Linked DNA regions of Stegostoma tigrinum. The main gene of each other region encodes a partner of the protein of the gene in region 2 in a complex. Links are inferred from orthologs where the notes say so. Each region holds a gene or a part of one and is shown on either strand. Other genes may lie near its edges.

Region 1 (7,100 bases), on a different chromosome or scaffold from region 2:
AATTTTCAAACTCGTATTCCAAAAATGAAAACATGGACAATATGGACATGAATTCAGGAATGACACTGAGTCCAATGAATCAACCAAAGATTTTAAACACCTGAACAAAACAAAGAATGGCTAAAAATCTGGAAAAAAATGCTGGAAAAACTCAGTTAGCCTTGCAGCAATGGTCGACAGAGAAATAGTCACAGCTTTGAGTCCAGTGTCTGTTCTTCATAACTTCTCTCCATAAACATAAATTGCTGGAAAAGCTCAGCAGATCTGGCAGCACTTACGAAGAAACAAAAAACTAGAGTTCGCGTTTCAGTTCTGGTGACCCTTCCAATTCCGAGGAAGGGTCACCAGACCCTAAACATTAACTCTGACTTTTATCTTCACAGATGCTGCCAAACCTGCTGAGCTTTACCAGCAACTTCTGTTTTTGTTCCTGATTTACAGGTCCACAGTTCTTTCAGTTCTCTGCACAGATGCCGCAAGACCTGCCGAGTTCCTCCAGCAATTCCTGTTTATTTCTTTGAAGCACTTGGCCTGGATTCCCCGCACTACAACATCCATTTCAGGCCAGGTTGGAGAGATTTCTGACCAGCACGAGATAAGGAGTTTATCGAGTATGGCAGGGAAATGGACTGTCAGATAACGATCTCACAGAGTGATGGAGCAAATTACTGCAGATGTTGGAGTCTGTACTAAAAACAAGTGCTGGGGATCAAGGAGTCATCTGGACATGAAATGTTAGCATGTGCGCAATTCCACGGATAACAAAGTGTAGAGCTGGACGAACACAGCAGGCCAAGCAGCATCTTAGGAGCACAAAAGCTGACATTTCAGGCCTAGACCCTTCATCAGAAATGGGAGAGGGGGAGAGGGTTCTGAAATAAATAGGGAGAGAGGGGGAGGTGGATCGAAGTTGGACAGAGGAGAAGATAGGTGGAGAGGAGACTGACAAGTTAAAGAGGCGGGGATGGAGCCAGTAGAGGTGGGGAGGTGATAGGTCAGTCTGAGGAGGACAGACAGGTCAAGGGGGCGGGATGAGGTTAGTAGGAAGGAAATGGAGGTGGGGCTTGAGGTGGGAGGCGGGGGATAGGTGGGAGGAAGAACAGGTTAGGGAGGCGGGGATGAACTGGGCTGGTTTTGGGATGCAGTAGGGGTTAGTTGCAGTTAGTTTTTTGTGAATCCACATTGATAGCATTGGGCTGCAAGGTTCCCAAGAGTTGCTGTTCCTGCAACCTTCAGGTGGCATCGATGTGGGACTGCAGGAGGCCCAGGATGGACATGTCGTCTAAGGAACGGGAGGGGGAGGTGAAATAGTTCATGACTGGGAGGTGCAGTTGTTTATTGCTAACCGAGTGGAGGTATTCTGCAAATTGGTCCTCAAGTCTCCGCCTGGTTTCCCCGATGTGGCAGAGGCCACACCGGGTCCACTGGATACAATATAGCACATTGGCAGATGTGCAGGTGAACATCTGCTTGATGTGGAAAGTCTTCTTGGGACCTGGGATGGGGGTGAGGGAGGAGGGATGGGGGCAGGCGTAGCACTTCCTGTGGTTGCAGGGAAAAGTGCTGGGTGTGGTGGGGTTGGACGGGAGTGTGGAGCGGACAAGGGAGTCACAGAGAGAGTGATCCCTCTGGAAAGTAGACAAGGGTAGGGAGAGAAAAATGAATTTGGTGGTGAGGTGGTCTTTGGCAGATGGCAGAAGTGTCGGAGGTTGATGCGTTGTATCTGGAGGTTGGAGGGATGGTACATGAGGACAAGGGGGATTCTCTTTTGGTGATTATTGCGGGGACGGGGTGTGAGGGATGAGTTGTGGGAAGTGAGGGATGAGTTGTATGAAATGCGGGACACATGGTTGAGGGCATTCTTGACCACTACAGGGGTTTGCAGTCCTTGAAAAATTAGGACATCTGAGATGTACAGGTGTGGAATGCCTCATCCTGGGAGCAGATGTGGAGGAGGCAAAGGAATTGAGAATGGCTTTGGCATTTTTGCAGGAAGGTGGGTGGGAGGGGGTGTATTCTACGTAGCTGTGGGAGTATGTGGGCTTGAAACAGATCTTGGTTTTGAGGTGGTTGCCTGAGATGGAGACAGAGGAGTCAGAAAGGAGAGAGAGAGGTGTTAGAGATGATCCAGGTGAACCTAAGGTTGGGCTGGAAGATGTTGAAGTGGATGAACTGTTCGAGCTCCTCGTGGGAGCAGGAGGCGGTGCCGATATGGTCATCAGTTTAACGGAGGAAGGGATTAGGTTTAGGGCCAGTGTAGTTACGGAAGAGGGATTGTTACACGTAACGTACAAAGAGGCAGGCATAGCTTGGGCCCATGCAGGTACCCATGGCCATCCCCTTTGTCTGCAGGAAGTGGGAGGAATTGAAAGAGTTGTTGAAGGTTAGGATGAGTTCGGATAAGCGGATGAGGGTGTCAGTGGAGGGGGACTGGTCGGATCTGCGGGACAGGAAGAAGCCGAGGGCCTTTCGGCCATCTGTACGGGAATGGAGGTGTATAGGGACTGGACGTCCACGGTGAAAATGAGATGTGGGGGACCGGGGAACTGGAAGTTCGGGAGGAGGTGGAGGGGCGTGGGTGGATGCTGCCTGACCCACTGTAATCGCCAGCTTTTGTGTTCATTGAGTGATGGGTGGATTCGAGGGGCTGAATGGCCTTATTCCACCGATACATTTCACGGTCTAACAGTCTGAGATGCCCTTTTTAAAAACTATGAGCTTTTCTGTGTACGACCCCGGGCCCCCGGGGGGTGGAGGGGCAGGGGTTTCCTACAGCGAGGCTGAGGGGCCCGGCCTCCCGGGGGAGGAGAGGAAGCAGCCGAAAACCTGAACACAACCGCCCTCCCCCGCTCACCGTGGACTTCTTCACCATCATCTCCTTCACCATCACATCCATCAGCCGCTCCTTCTCCTCATGGTAACGGCGCTGCTGCTCCAGAATGGTCTCCATTGCGGCGGGACACGACGACCGTGCTGAAACTGACGGACCCGCTCCCGGATTGGACAGACCGCCGGACGTGACGTGACTTGCCTTCCGGAATTCGGGGTGTTCACGTTCCTGCCTCCGCCGTCAGCGACCGCTGGAGAAACGTTCCCCCCCCCCCCAAAAGAGAGGCAAAACAACCGTGAAAACGCTTCATTTCTGCCAATATATTTTACTGTTGCGTTCATTTGTTTGTGTTTTTACGTCGATTTGTTTCCCTTGTTGGAAATGTATCCCACCATTCCCGTGATTTCTGTTTCTTGTTCAGCAAATAAAATGAGTTGCTGTGGGAAACCCATCTGGGTCTATCAGCTTTGTCCAAAGTGACAGCAGTTCCCAACTCAGTGAGATTCGCACAACATGTTTCACAACTAAGTTACACAGGAGTGTTCAAGGAAACATGTTTCTACTTCATGTTGATGTTTCTGCGAGTTTTATCCTGGTTTGCTCACAGCACAGTCCACGGAGGCTGGAGTGTTGACTTCATGAAATATCTGCATTAACTTGGTCAATAGTCGGAACATTCTTTGTTGCAATCAGGTTCGTTCACAACTCCTGCCTCCATTGCAGTACATTAGTGACTGTGACTATGCTTTCTGCTCTCACTGTTCAGAGCTCACCCAAGACTTTGTCCCACGTAGAGTTGTAGAGATATATAGCACAGAAACAAACAATGCCAGCCAGATATCCTAAATTAATCTCATGCCATTTGCCACTATTTGGCCCGTATTTCTCTAAACACTTCCTATTCAAATACCGTCCAGATGCCTTTGAACTGTTGTAATTGTACCTGCCTCCACCATGTCCTCTGGCAGCTCATTCCATTCATGCAACACCGATGGTAAAGCTACCCCTCAGATCTTTGTTTAAATCTTTGCCCTCTCACTTTAAAAACTATGCCCGCTACTTTTGCATGACTCCCTCCCCCTGCCCCAGGAAACAACCTTGGCTATTCACCCTATCCAGGCCCTGCATGATTTTATAAACCTCTATATGGTCACCCCTTAGTCTCCACCACTCCAGGGAAAAGAGTCCAGCCCCTGCTTATTCAACCTCTCTCTGTAACTCAAAACCCCCTGTCCATGCAAAATCCTTGTAAATATTTTTTACACCCTCTCATGTTTAACAAAATCATGCTGCATAAACAGGTGAGCGGAATTGTAAGCAGTATTCCAAAAGTGGTTTCACCAATGTCCTGTACAGCTGCTGGATGACACCCCAACTCATACACTAAATGCTCTGACCAATGAAAGCAAGCATACAAAATGCTTTCCTCACTACCCTGTCCACCTGCAACTCCACTTTCAAGGAACAATGCACCGATACCCCGAGGTCTCTTTGTTTGGCAACACTCTACAGCGTCCTACCATTAACTGTATATGCCATGTCCCAGTTTTGCATATCGAGGGTCTGACCTTCTCAAAGTAGCACTATTCCACAGTACAGAGTACACTATAGCTTTTTTTTTGTTTATCCAATGTGTACATGTACCTTCCCTGCTCAGGTGCGTCGGTGGTGGGGGACTCAAAGTTTGGACCAGCTGTGACAGCAGCTAACCACCTCCACACACCGTTATGGCCTTGTCAGCACCCACACCACTCCAGCTCTGGTGGACTATGTAACCACCAGACCCGCTCCTCTACCAATGTACCATACGGCAAATTTACCCATCTATTAGTCTGCTGTAGTGTGTGTACTACACACACACACACACACACACACACACACACACACACACACACACACAGAGGTCAGTTGAATTGCTTCATAAGTGATAATGTGTTTTCCTATTTTGGATGGACCAACACTCAGAGCCAGTCACTCTTGACAAGTGAACTATCATTGGTCAATTTATCACTAACATGACACACCCAGGCAATGAATTGGCTGTTGGTTAAAGCTCTGCTGTTTAACTTCTAGTCGCAGTCAAAATAATGCAAGACCATCTGCAGTAAATCTTAAAAACAAACCCTGACCCAACAAAGATTAAAATGATATGAATCCCCTCTCACATCCATTGCAAAACACTAACCCAACCCCTCAATGAAATTCAAAACACCATCAATCACATCACAACCTACCAGAATCCTAGCCAATCACTGTTCTCTTAGCTTTTATGGTATGTTTAAAGATGTTTGAATTTGATTGGGTGATGTTACATTGGATGTGATATCAACATATGGTAATGCTGGAAGATGATGGCAATTGCAGGTTCTTTCCCTGCAGACAAGGGTGTGAATTGCGATGTTTTGGTATTGCATAGATTCCAGGCCAAGGCATGTTGTGCGCCTTCAAGCATCACATCATTCAAATACATGATGTCCCAGTACCTACCAGTTACTTCTGTGTCATGGAGTCAGGGTTGTATGTTCAGCCAATTTGTCATCTGTATAACATATGGGCTAATATCAGAAAGTACAGAACCTGTGCAGTTTCTATGTTTATAATATTACAGCTATGTAAATAATAAATATTGTGAATAAACTTCAATATATCTGTCCCAATAAGAACCCAACCTTTGTGGTAACATAATCTGAGCTAAATTACGGGGCAGCTGTCAGGTCCTATCATAATGGCACTGGTGTTTGACCCAGGAAACAACAACAATGAAACCAAGTTGTATAAAATTATGCGTTTCAGTTCAAAATTATTTAAAAAGCTCGCAGGGTTTTTTTTGCAGCTCCCCAAATCATGCTGCCCAAGGCAAGCATCCAGTTTACCCTGTGGCCGTCCCAACCCCACTCCTTAGCCAGCTTTTTGGCAGCAATAGTTCCAAAGTTTCATTGCACTTTGAGAGAAGAATTGCTTCCCAATCTGCCTATTTTTAATTTTTAAGGGATGTCAGAATTTTATTCCACCAGTTACTTTAATTTTTGCTTTGTGTCTGTGTCAATGATTTCTTCTGTCATTGTACCTTAACATCAAATTTAAGATGCACTTCAACATAACTCAAAATCTGTGTGTAATGTTAATTTTAATTTGCATGATTTTAATATTAAGGATGAATATAATTTCCTTCAGGTTTGGAAAGTATGTCTAAATAAGGAAATACAGGAGTCAGAGATAATAAGAACTGCCAATGTCATAGGCAACACAATGTGGAGCTGGAGGAACACAGCAGGACGGGCAGAATCAGAGGAGTAGGAAAGCTGATGTTACGGGTCAGGACACTTCTTCAGAAAAGCCTATGTCAGCCTCCCTGCTCCTCTGATGCTACCCGGCCTGATGTGTTCCTCCAGCTCCACACTGTATTAGTACAGGAGGTAGTTGTTTTTATATTTTCTAACCAAACCTGGCCAAAGATATTATTAGACAACTCTAGAGCAGGTGTGACTTGAACCTAGGCCTCCTAGCTCAAAGGTAGGGATGCTACAAGTACATTACAAGAAGCGTTCAGGTGTCAGCTTTTGCCTGCATAGTCTGGTATTAACAGGTGACACCCTCATAAAGAGACCAATTGGAAAAGCGAGTGCTTCCAGTTTTTTTGTGGTGGAAGCAGAAAGTGCTGGAAGACCTCAGCACTTCCAGAAATTTCTATCAAAGAATTATAAGTTCATATAAATTCTTCATTTGAACTTTCAGTGAGTCCAACACTTGGGGCTCGTTGCTTCAACAGTGCTTCTTATCCCATCCAGTGTTTGGGTTAATCATTCAATGACCACTAGATGGCACAAAAGGTGCCTTATGGATGGTGAGTACTGAGCTCAGCTTCGGTTTTACCTTCACAAATACTTGAGCTGGAGAACTGCTGCCAGAGGATGTTAGGCCAGTCTCTTGGGTCCAAGTCCAGTAATCATTTCCACCATCATAAGAGTTCTTAAATTTCTTACTAGAAAAAGTTCTAGGCTACAGTCTTGATTCAGCTCCCAATGGATGAGCATCTTTTGGATAAAACTGGTCTCGCCTCGCGTGTTTGCAACTGCTGGACGCAAATTAATACGTGGATGGATGAATATAGGAAGCCAAGGAGTAAAACCTTTCTTTACATTGTTGATTTAATTAGCACCTAACTTCTTTTTTTAAACAGCATGCCAAACAGCATGGTGGAGATCAATTTTGTAGGAGCACTTAGAAGGCTGTTGGGCTAACTAAAAAGGAAAAATGTGCAGTGTTACAG
Region 2 (7,594 bases):
AACACACAGTTCTTCAAGTATTAATTCAGCATCTTTACAAATGTCAGAATCATTTACTTTGGAACTTGGGTGAAATAAATTATTAAAGTTGGTGAGACCAAGATTTGTCATGTTACATGAGTTGCAGCATTAAAACCAAAAATTTTGCCTTTTACTTTTCAAATTATTTATCTGTGAGAAAATTGCATCATTCCATTATCAGAAATATGACATGCGGACAATACTTTCTGATTGTCATTTTTCAGAGGTTGTTCAATTACATTTGTATCCATCTCAAGAGACAAGTTAAAGACAGCAATACAAGATTGACAAGTCAGCCTCAAAAATGATTTAATAAAACTGTTGCCAATGTCAAATCAAATTACAAGGAGATGCTCCAGTAGATTTGTTTGAACTGTTATCACTAATGCCAACATTGTGATTATTGGAATTAAAATTCAATAATCCATCAAGAACAAAGGAAAGACCATGCAGTCAACATAGCAATTTGCACAATTGAATCATTGAGATCTACAGCACAGGGAAGGCATGATCAAAATCAACCACCTACCTATTCTAATAGGCTTATGAAGGGTCTTTATGCCTTGGCACCACAAGTTTACTTTTAAATACTTCTTAGCATGTTACAAGGGGCTCTGCCTCTACCACTCTTAGCAGTGTGTTCCAAGTTCCACAGACTCTTGTTAGGTACATACACGTGTTTGCACATTGGTCAATTTGCAGTTTCTTCATGTACAAAGTACAAGCATTTCACTGTAGTGTCATAAACAATATTTGATATTGCCACATTGACAGGTATTAGGGCAAACGAATTTGAAGGAACATCTTTAAAAAAGGAGAAAACAGAGTCGGACAGGTTTAGGCAAGGAATTCCAAAGCTCTGGGCCTTGTTGGCTGAAGTCACAGGGATGTTCCAAAGGCCAGAATTAAATGACTGCAGATATATCAGAGGGTTGAGAGCTCGAAGTAGATTTAAGACATAGCTGGGGGACACGGCTATGGATGCATATGAAAATGTGCAAGAGATTTCTTAAAAGAAAAATCAAGACAGGGAAGCCATACCAGTCAGTATGTATGCAATCATTTCATTTCGGGGTCAAATTTACAACCAAAGGTGTAAACAGTGTGATTAAGCCTCAAACTGTTGCCAAGGGGAGGGATAATGCTTATGTCTTGAATTACTGTTGGTCATATTGTATACTAAATTATTTTACGAATAATCAACTTTGCATTTTAAATAACATTTTAGACAACTTTGTGTTTTACACAATTAACGCTGCCAGGTTACATTCACTACCGTTCCTGAAGATGAGACTGGCTGAGAATGAAAAAAACACCAGAGAAAATACATGAGTAACAGTAAAATTTGAGTGTGACTTCGGTAAAGTCTCAAAGCAAATCAGCGACAAATGACCAGGGCTCATCAACAAAATCAACGCAATAGTGAACTGATCTATATCCACACAGCACGGACCAGTGATCTACTCATGTGCCTGTCTAGTCCTTTAAATAAATCTAGTTTTCAAATCTGAAATAATATCCAAAAGTGCTAGAATGACAGGAAGAAAAATAGCATCACCGATGTCCACTTTTCTTTTCTCTCCTTTTTGCTTTGTTTCTTTAGGATCCCCTTGAGCTGCATTATCTCCTGAAGACTTTTGCAGAATGGCTGCTGTCTTCTGGGTTTCAGTGGTGGAATTGCCACTGTTCTCAGGGTCCTCTTCAACGTAACCGTAGTTTGCATGATATGTTGCAAGAAAATCTTCAGTGATCTGGAAACAATTGTTACGACAGGATGTGTACGACAAGTAGTTGAAAACTGTCAACGAGTTTAGAGCGGTTCTGGGTGGGTACACAAATAGGAAGGGTTTGGAGGGATATGGGTCGGGATGTGTGTGCGTGGAGATGGTACCAAGAATGTGCGAATAGCAAGGTCACGTAAGCTAGGTGGAAATGGAGGGTGTGGAAATGGAGAGTGTGGGCAGGGAGGGTGGGTGCAGACTTTGGCAGTGAATGACCTGGAAAAAGGTAGTAGGAACTGCAGATGCTGGAGAATCTGAGATAACAAGGTGTAGGAAGACTGATGTTTCGGGTCTAGGCCTGAAACGTCAGCCATCCTGCTCCTCTGATTCTGCTTAGCCTGCTGTGTTGATCCAGCTCCGTACCATGTTATCTCATATTATCAATGACCTGGAAAGGCAGGAATGGGTTCAAAAATCTGAAAGGTTCAGGTTTAGGGTGAAAGACCTGGGGGGGGCGGGGGGGGAAGAGACTGGGGTTGAAAGACCTGGAAAGGGGGGGGGTTGGTGATGGGGGGAGGTGAAACTGGGGTTGAAAGACCTGAAAGGGGGGGGGGGGGCGTGGGGTCTCGGGTTGAAAGACCTCGAACCGGGGGTGGGGGGGGGGGAAGAGAGAGAGAGAAGAACTGTGGTTGAAAAACTTGGAATGGGGGGGGGAACTGGGGTTGAAAGACCTGGAAAGGGGAGGGGGGTGGGATTGGATTAGGGTTGACCAAACTGGAAGGGTGGGGGATTGAAAGACATGGAAAAGGGGGCAAGGGTGGGATGGGGGAAAATTGGGGTTGAAAGGCCTGGGGGGGGGGGGGGGGTCAAGGACCTGGCGAAAATATGGTGGTGGTGGCGGGGGGAGAGAATTGGCTCAGGGCCGGGAGTGCGGCCTGCAGAGGGGTCATGGGGGTGGGCAGTGTTCCGCCCAGTCCCACCCCCGGCCGTACCTTGGGGAACCAGGCTTTCCTCTCCCAGTCCCACTCGAACTCGGTGCCCTCCGCGTCCACGAAAGTGCTCGTGCGGCCCCACGCCTCCTCGGCCTCTCCGCCCTCCAGCAGCCGCTGCAGCCGCAGCTGCTCGTGGAAATCGGCGTTCGCCTCCTCACCGCTCATCCTCCGGGCCCGAAAATTAAACACCAATCGGCCCAAAAATAAACGCGGTCAGCCGCCACTCTCTTAAAGTCGCCTTAAAGCACCTCGATACGCAGACTCGCCGAACTCTGACCTTCAGCTCCCTGTTTGAGATGTCATTTCCGGGAGCTGGCAGGGCCTGTGTCACGTGGTTTTGGTGGAGGAGATGCTGATGGCTCAGGTACAGGTTTATGTATGGTCTACATCAACCTGTTAAGGGATAGAGGCATGGAGCTGTACTGTAAGGAAACAGACCATTCGGCCCAACTTGTCCATGCTAACAAAACATGCTAAATTAGTCTAGTCCTATTTGGCCCATCTCCCTCTAAACTCTTGCTATTCATATACCCATCCTGATGCCTTTTAAATGTTGTAATTGTATCGGCCTCTGCCACTTCTTCTGACAGCTCATTCTATACACACATCACCCCCTGCGTGAAAATGTTGCTCCTTAGGTCCCTTTCATATCTTTCCCTTCTCACCTTAAGCCAATGCTGGCTAGTTTTGGAATCTCCCCACCCCAGGAGAAAAAGCCCTTGCCTATTTATCCTATCCATGCCCCTCATGATTTTATAAACATTGATAAGGTCACTCCTCGGCCACCATGCTCCTGGGAAAATAAGCCCACCCTACTCAACTTCTTCCTAAAGCTCAAACCCTCCAACCCTGGCAACATCCTTGTAAATCATTGCTGAACCCTTTCAAGTTTCACAGCATTCTTCCTATTAGCAGGGAGGCCAGAATTGCATACAGTATTCCAGTAGTGGCCTAGCCAATGTACAGCCGCAACATGACATCCCAACACCTATACTCAATGCATTGACAAATTAAGGCAAGCATACCAAATGCCTTCTTCACTATCCTATTTAGCTGTGCCTCCACATTCAAGGAACTATGAATCTGCCCTCCAAGGTCTCTTTAGCAACACTCCCCAGGACCTTACCATTAAATGTATAATTCCTGCTCTGATTTGCCTTTTGATCATGCAGCACCTCACATTTATCTAAATTACACTCTATTTGCCGATCCTCATCCCATTGACCCATCTGATCAAGATGCAATCGTACTCCGAGGCAACCTTCTTTGGTATTCACAACACCTGCAATTTTAGTACTTTAAACTTTAGCAGATGCAATTACAAATTATGAGGCTATGCTGGCCAAAATGCATTTGGAAGACAGATTAAAAAGGTGATGCAATAGAAGAACAATGACAGACACTTAAGCAAATATAACTTCAATGAAGATAGGATCACTTCTCAATAGAATATATGAGATAGCAAAGGAAGTTAAAGATAGTTATTATATTGAAAGAGGAAAGCGTACAATCCTGTGACGATTAGTTGAGGTAGATCAGAAAATTGGACAGATTTTAGAAAACAGCAAAAAATGATTGAGAAATAAAGAAATTAGAATCTAAATGTAACTAGCTAGGACCTCAATATCTAGAGGGTCCCAGGACTGTGAATATACTGGATCACCACCTGCATGTTACTTCCATGTCACTCACTGTCCAGATTTGGAAATATATGGCTGTTTCTTTTGGGTTGCTAGGTCAAAATCCGAAAACTCCACCCCTAAAAGCATTGTGAGGGTACCTGCAGTAAATAGACTGAAGCAGTTCACAGCATCTTATCAATGGCAACAAAGGGTGGGCAATAAATGGTTAGTGATGATTGCGTAAAATAAGAGGGCATGGAGAAGGGATGAAGATAACAGTTTAGGAGTTTGCTGACAAGAAGTAAACAGGAATAAATAAATAATTTTTGGGTTGGCAAAATGTGAGCAGCAGGATGCCACTGGATTCAGTTCTGAGGCACAACTATTTACAATCCACATCAATATATCAATGATTTAAATGAAAGGACTGAATACGTGATTGTCAAATTTGCCAATAACACAAAGATATACAGAAGAGTAAGTTATCAAGAGGAGATAAGCTGTTGTAATGTCATAAGATGTTGGAGCAGAATTCAGCCATTCGGTCCAACGGGTCTGTTCCACATTCGATCATAACCAATTAGTTTCTCAACCCTCTTCTCCCTTTAACCCTTAATCCCCTTATCAATCAAGAACCTGTCTTAAATGGCCTCAATAACTTGATCTCTGCAGCCATACGCAGCAAGAGTTTAACAGGTTAACCATCCTGTAGCTGAAAAAATCCATCTTTCTTTCAGTTCTAAATGGTCATTCCTTCATTCTGAAGTTCTGTGCTTTCAGGTCTTCGTTTCTCCTACTAGCGGAAACATCTTCTCCATGTCCACTCTATCCAGGACTCTCAGTACTCTGTAAGTTTCAATCAGTTCCTTTGTCCAGCTTGTTAATATATAACATGAATAGTTGTGGTCCCAACACGGACCTCTACAGAACTCCATTTGTCACTGGCTGCCATTCTAAGAAAAAATTCCTTTATCCCTACTCTCTGATATCTACCAGACAGCCAATCTTCTATGCATACCACGACTTTGCTCTTAGCACCGCATACTCTAATTTAGCCATCTGCAAAGGGAATTAGGTTTAATGAGTGGGTAAAAATTTGGCTGATCTCATATAACGTGGGACAATGTAAATTTGTCCACTTTGGCAGGAAGAATAGAAAAGCTGACTATTATTTGAATGGAGAGAGATCCTTCTATGGTGCAGAGGACTCTTAACATCCTGACACATAAAACACAGAAAACTAGTATCTGGGTAGAGCAAGTCATGAAGAAAAAAATGGAATGTTTGCATTTAATGCAAGTACACAGTTAAAGAAATCAAATGGCTTGTGGCACAATAGCAGTGGCCCTACCATTTAACCTGGAGGCTTGGGTTCAACTCCCACCTGCTCCAGATGTGTGTCATAACACATCTGAATAAATTAGTTAAAAATATCTACAATCACATAAGTAGAGATGTGTTACTGCAGTTGTGCTGGGACCACATATGGGGTACTATGTACAGTTTTGATCTCCTTACTCAAGGAAGCATTGTTTTGCATTAGAAGCATCTCTGAAAAGCTTCACTTGACTTATTCCTGTGGTGAAGAGGTTATCTTCTGAGGAAAGATTGAAAAGGTTGGTGCTTTAGGAGAATGAATGGTGATCTTATTGAAATATATATGATCTTGAGAGACTGTATAGAGGGCAGACATTGAGAGCATGTTTCCACTTGTAGGGGAGTGTGGAACTAGGGGAAAGAGTTTAAAAATGAGGTGTCTTCCATTTAAGGCTAAGAGGAGGAGAAACGTTTTCCCTCGAAGGATCACTGGTCTTTGGAATTTTCCTACCCAGGGAATAGTAGAGGCTGAGAAAATTTAAGTTGGATTTAGAGAGTCCACAGTGAGGGAGGATGAACGGGAAAGCAGGGTTAGGGCCACAGTCAGATTAATCATGATCAAATTGCATGGTGGAACAGCCCTGAGCTGCCGTACTGTCTACTGTTGCTTCTAATTCTGGTGTGGAATAGGGACAAGGGCACCGAACACTTGACAGTGCACGTGACACTTCTACCACCCTGCAAAATGGGACCAAGTCTGATGGTGCACAGCAAGGCAGCAGGCAGGGTGTGCAACAAAACAGAAGATGCTGGAAAAGCTCAGCAGGTCTGGCAGCATCTGTGAGTTCACATTTCGGGTCCGGTGATCCTTCCTCGGAACAGGGCAGGCAGTGAACTTCATGTTATAAAGCAGATGTTCACCTGCACATCTGCCAATGTGGTATACTGTATCCATTGTACCCGGTGTGGCTTCCTCTACATTGGGGAAACCAAGCGGAGGCTTGGGGACCGCTTTGCAGAACACCTCCGCTCGATTCGCAATAAACAACTGCACCTCCCTGTCGCGAACCATTTCCACTCCCCCTCCCATTCCCCAGACGACATGTCCATCATGGGCCTCCTGCAGTGCCACAATGATGCCACCCGAAGGTTGTAGGAACAGCAACTCATATTCCGCTTGGGAACCCTGCAGCCCAATGGTATCAATGTGGACTTCACAAGCTTCAAAATCTCCCCTTCCCCCACTGCATCCCAAAACCAGCCCAGCTCGTCCCCTCCCCCACCGCAACCCAAAACCAGCCCAGCCTGTCTCCGCTTCCCTAACCTGTTCTTCCTCTCACCCATCCCTTCCTCCCACCCCAAGCCACGCCTCCATTTCCTACCTACTAACCTCATCCCACCTCCTTGACCTGTCCGTCTTCCCTGAACTGACCTATCCCCTCCCTACCTCCCCACCTATACTCTCCTCTCCACCTATCTTCTTTTCTCTCCGTCTTCGGTCCGCCTCCCCCTCTCTCCCTATTTATTCCAGAACCCTCTCCCCATCCCCCTCTCTGATGAAGGGTGTAGGCCCGAAACGTCAGCTTTTGTGCTCCTGAGATGCTGCTTGGCCTGCTGTGTTTGTCCAGCTTCACACTTTGTTATCTTTCATTTTATAAGTATTCTGTTTCAGTCAAAGGGAAGATGGGGAACAGGGGGTCGGGTTGGCTTTACAATCCATCCTCACGTTGTAGCTGACCTTCACTTGTTAAAAGTGGACTGTCCCTTTTAAAATAGAAGAAATAAGAACTGAAATGACTTTGGAATGCATAAGGTAAAAAGCAAAGATCTGAGTATCTAGAGCAAAGATCTATTATCTGGGTAGAGAAAGTCTTGAGGAAAGAAATGGAATGTTGGCATTTAATGCAAGTACACAATTAAA

The links.
Region 1: htatsf1 (region 2) and sf3a3 share a complex: the UniProt entries of both Homo sapiens proteins name them as parts of the 17S U2 SnRNP complex. The link is inferred for Stegostoma tigrinum from reciprocal best matches to the Homo sapiens genes HTATSF1 and SF3A3.

Annotation. Positions count from the first base shown.
Region 1 is NC_081377.1:18,061,827-18,068,926, forward strand, and holds the start of sf3a3 (splicing factor 3A subunit 3), read right to left. Parts: upstream 3,020-7,100; 5' UTR 2,951-3,019; coding exon 2,855-2,950; intron 1-2,854. UniProt on the Homo sapiens protein: Component of the 17S U2 SnRNP complex of the spliceosome, a large ribonucleoprotein complex that removes introns from transcribed pre-mRNAs.
Region 2 is NC_081371.1:10,945,121-10,952,714, reverse strand, and holds the start of htatsf1 (HIV Tat-specific factor 1), read right to left. Parts: upstream 3,007-7,594; 5' UTR 2,900-3,006; coding exon 2,735-2,899; intron 1,773-2,734; coding exon 1,580-1,772; intron 1-1,579. UniProt on the Homo sapiens protein: Component of the 17S U2 SnRNP complex of the spliceosome, a large ribonucleoprotein complex that removes introns from transcribed pre-mRNAs.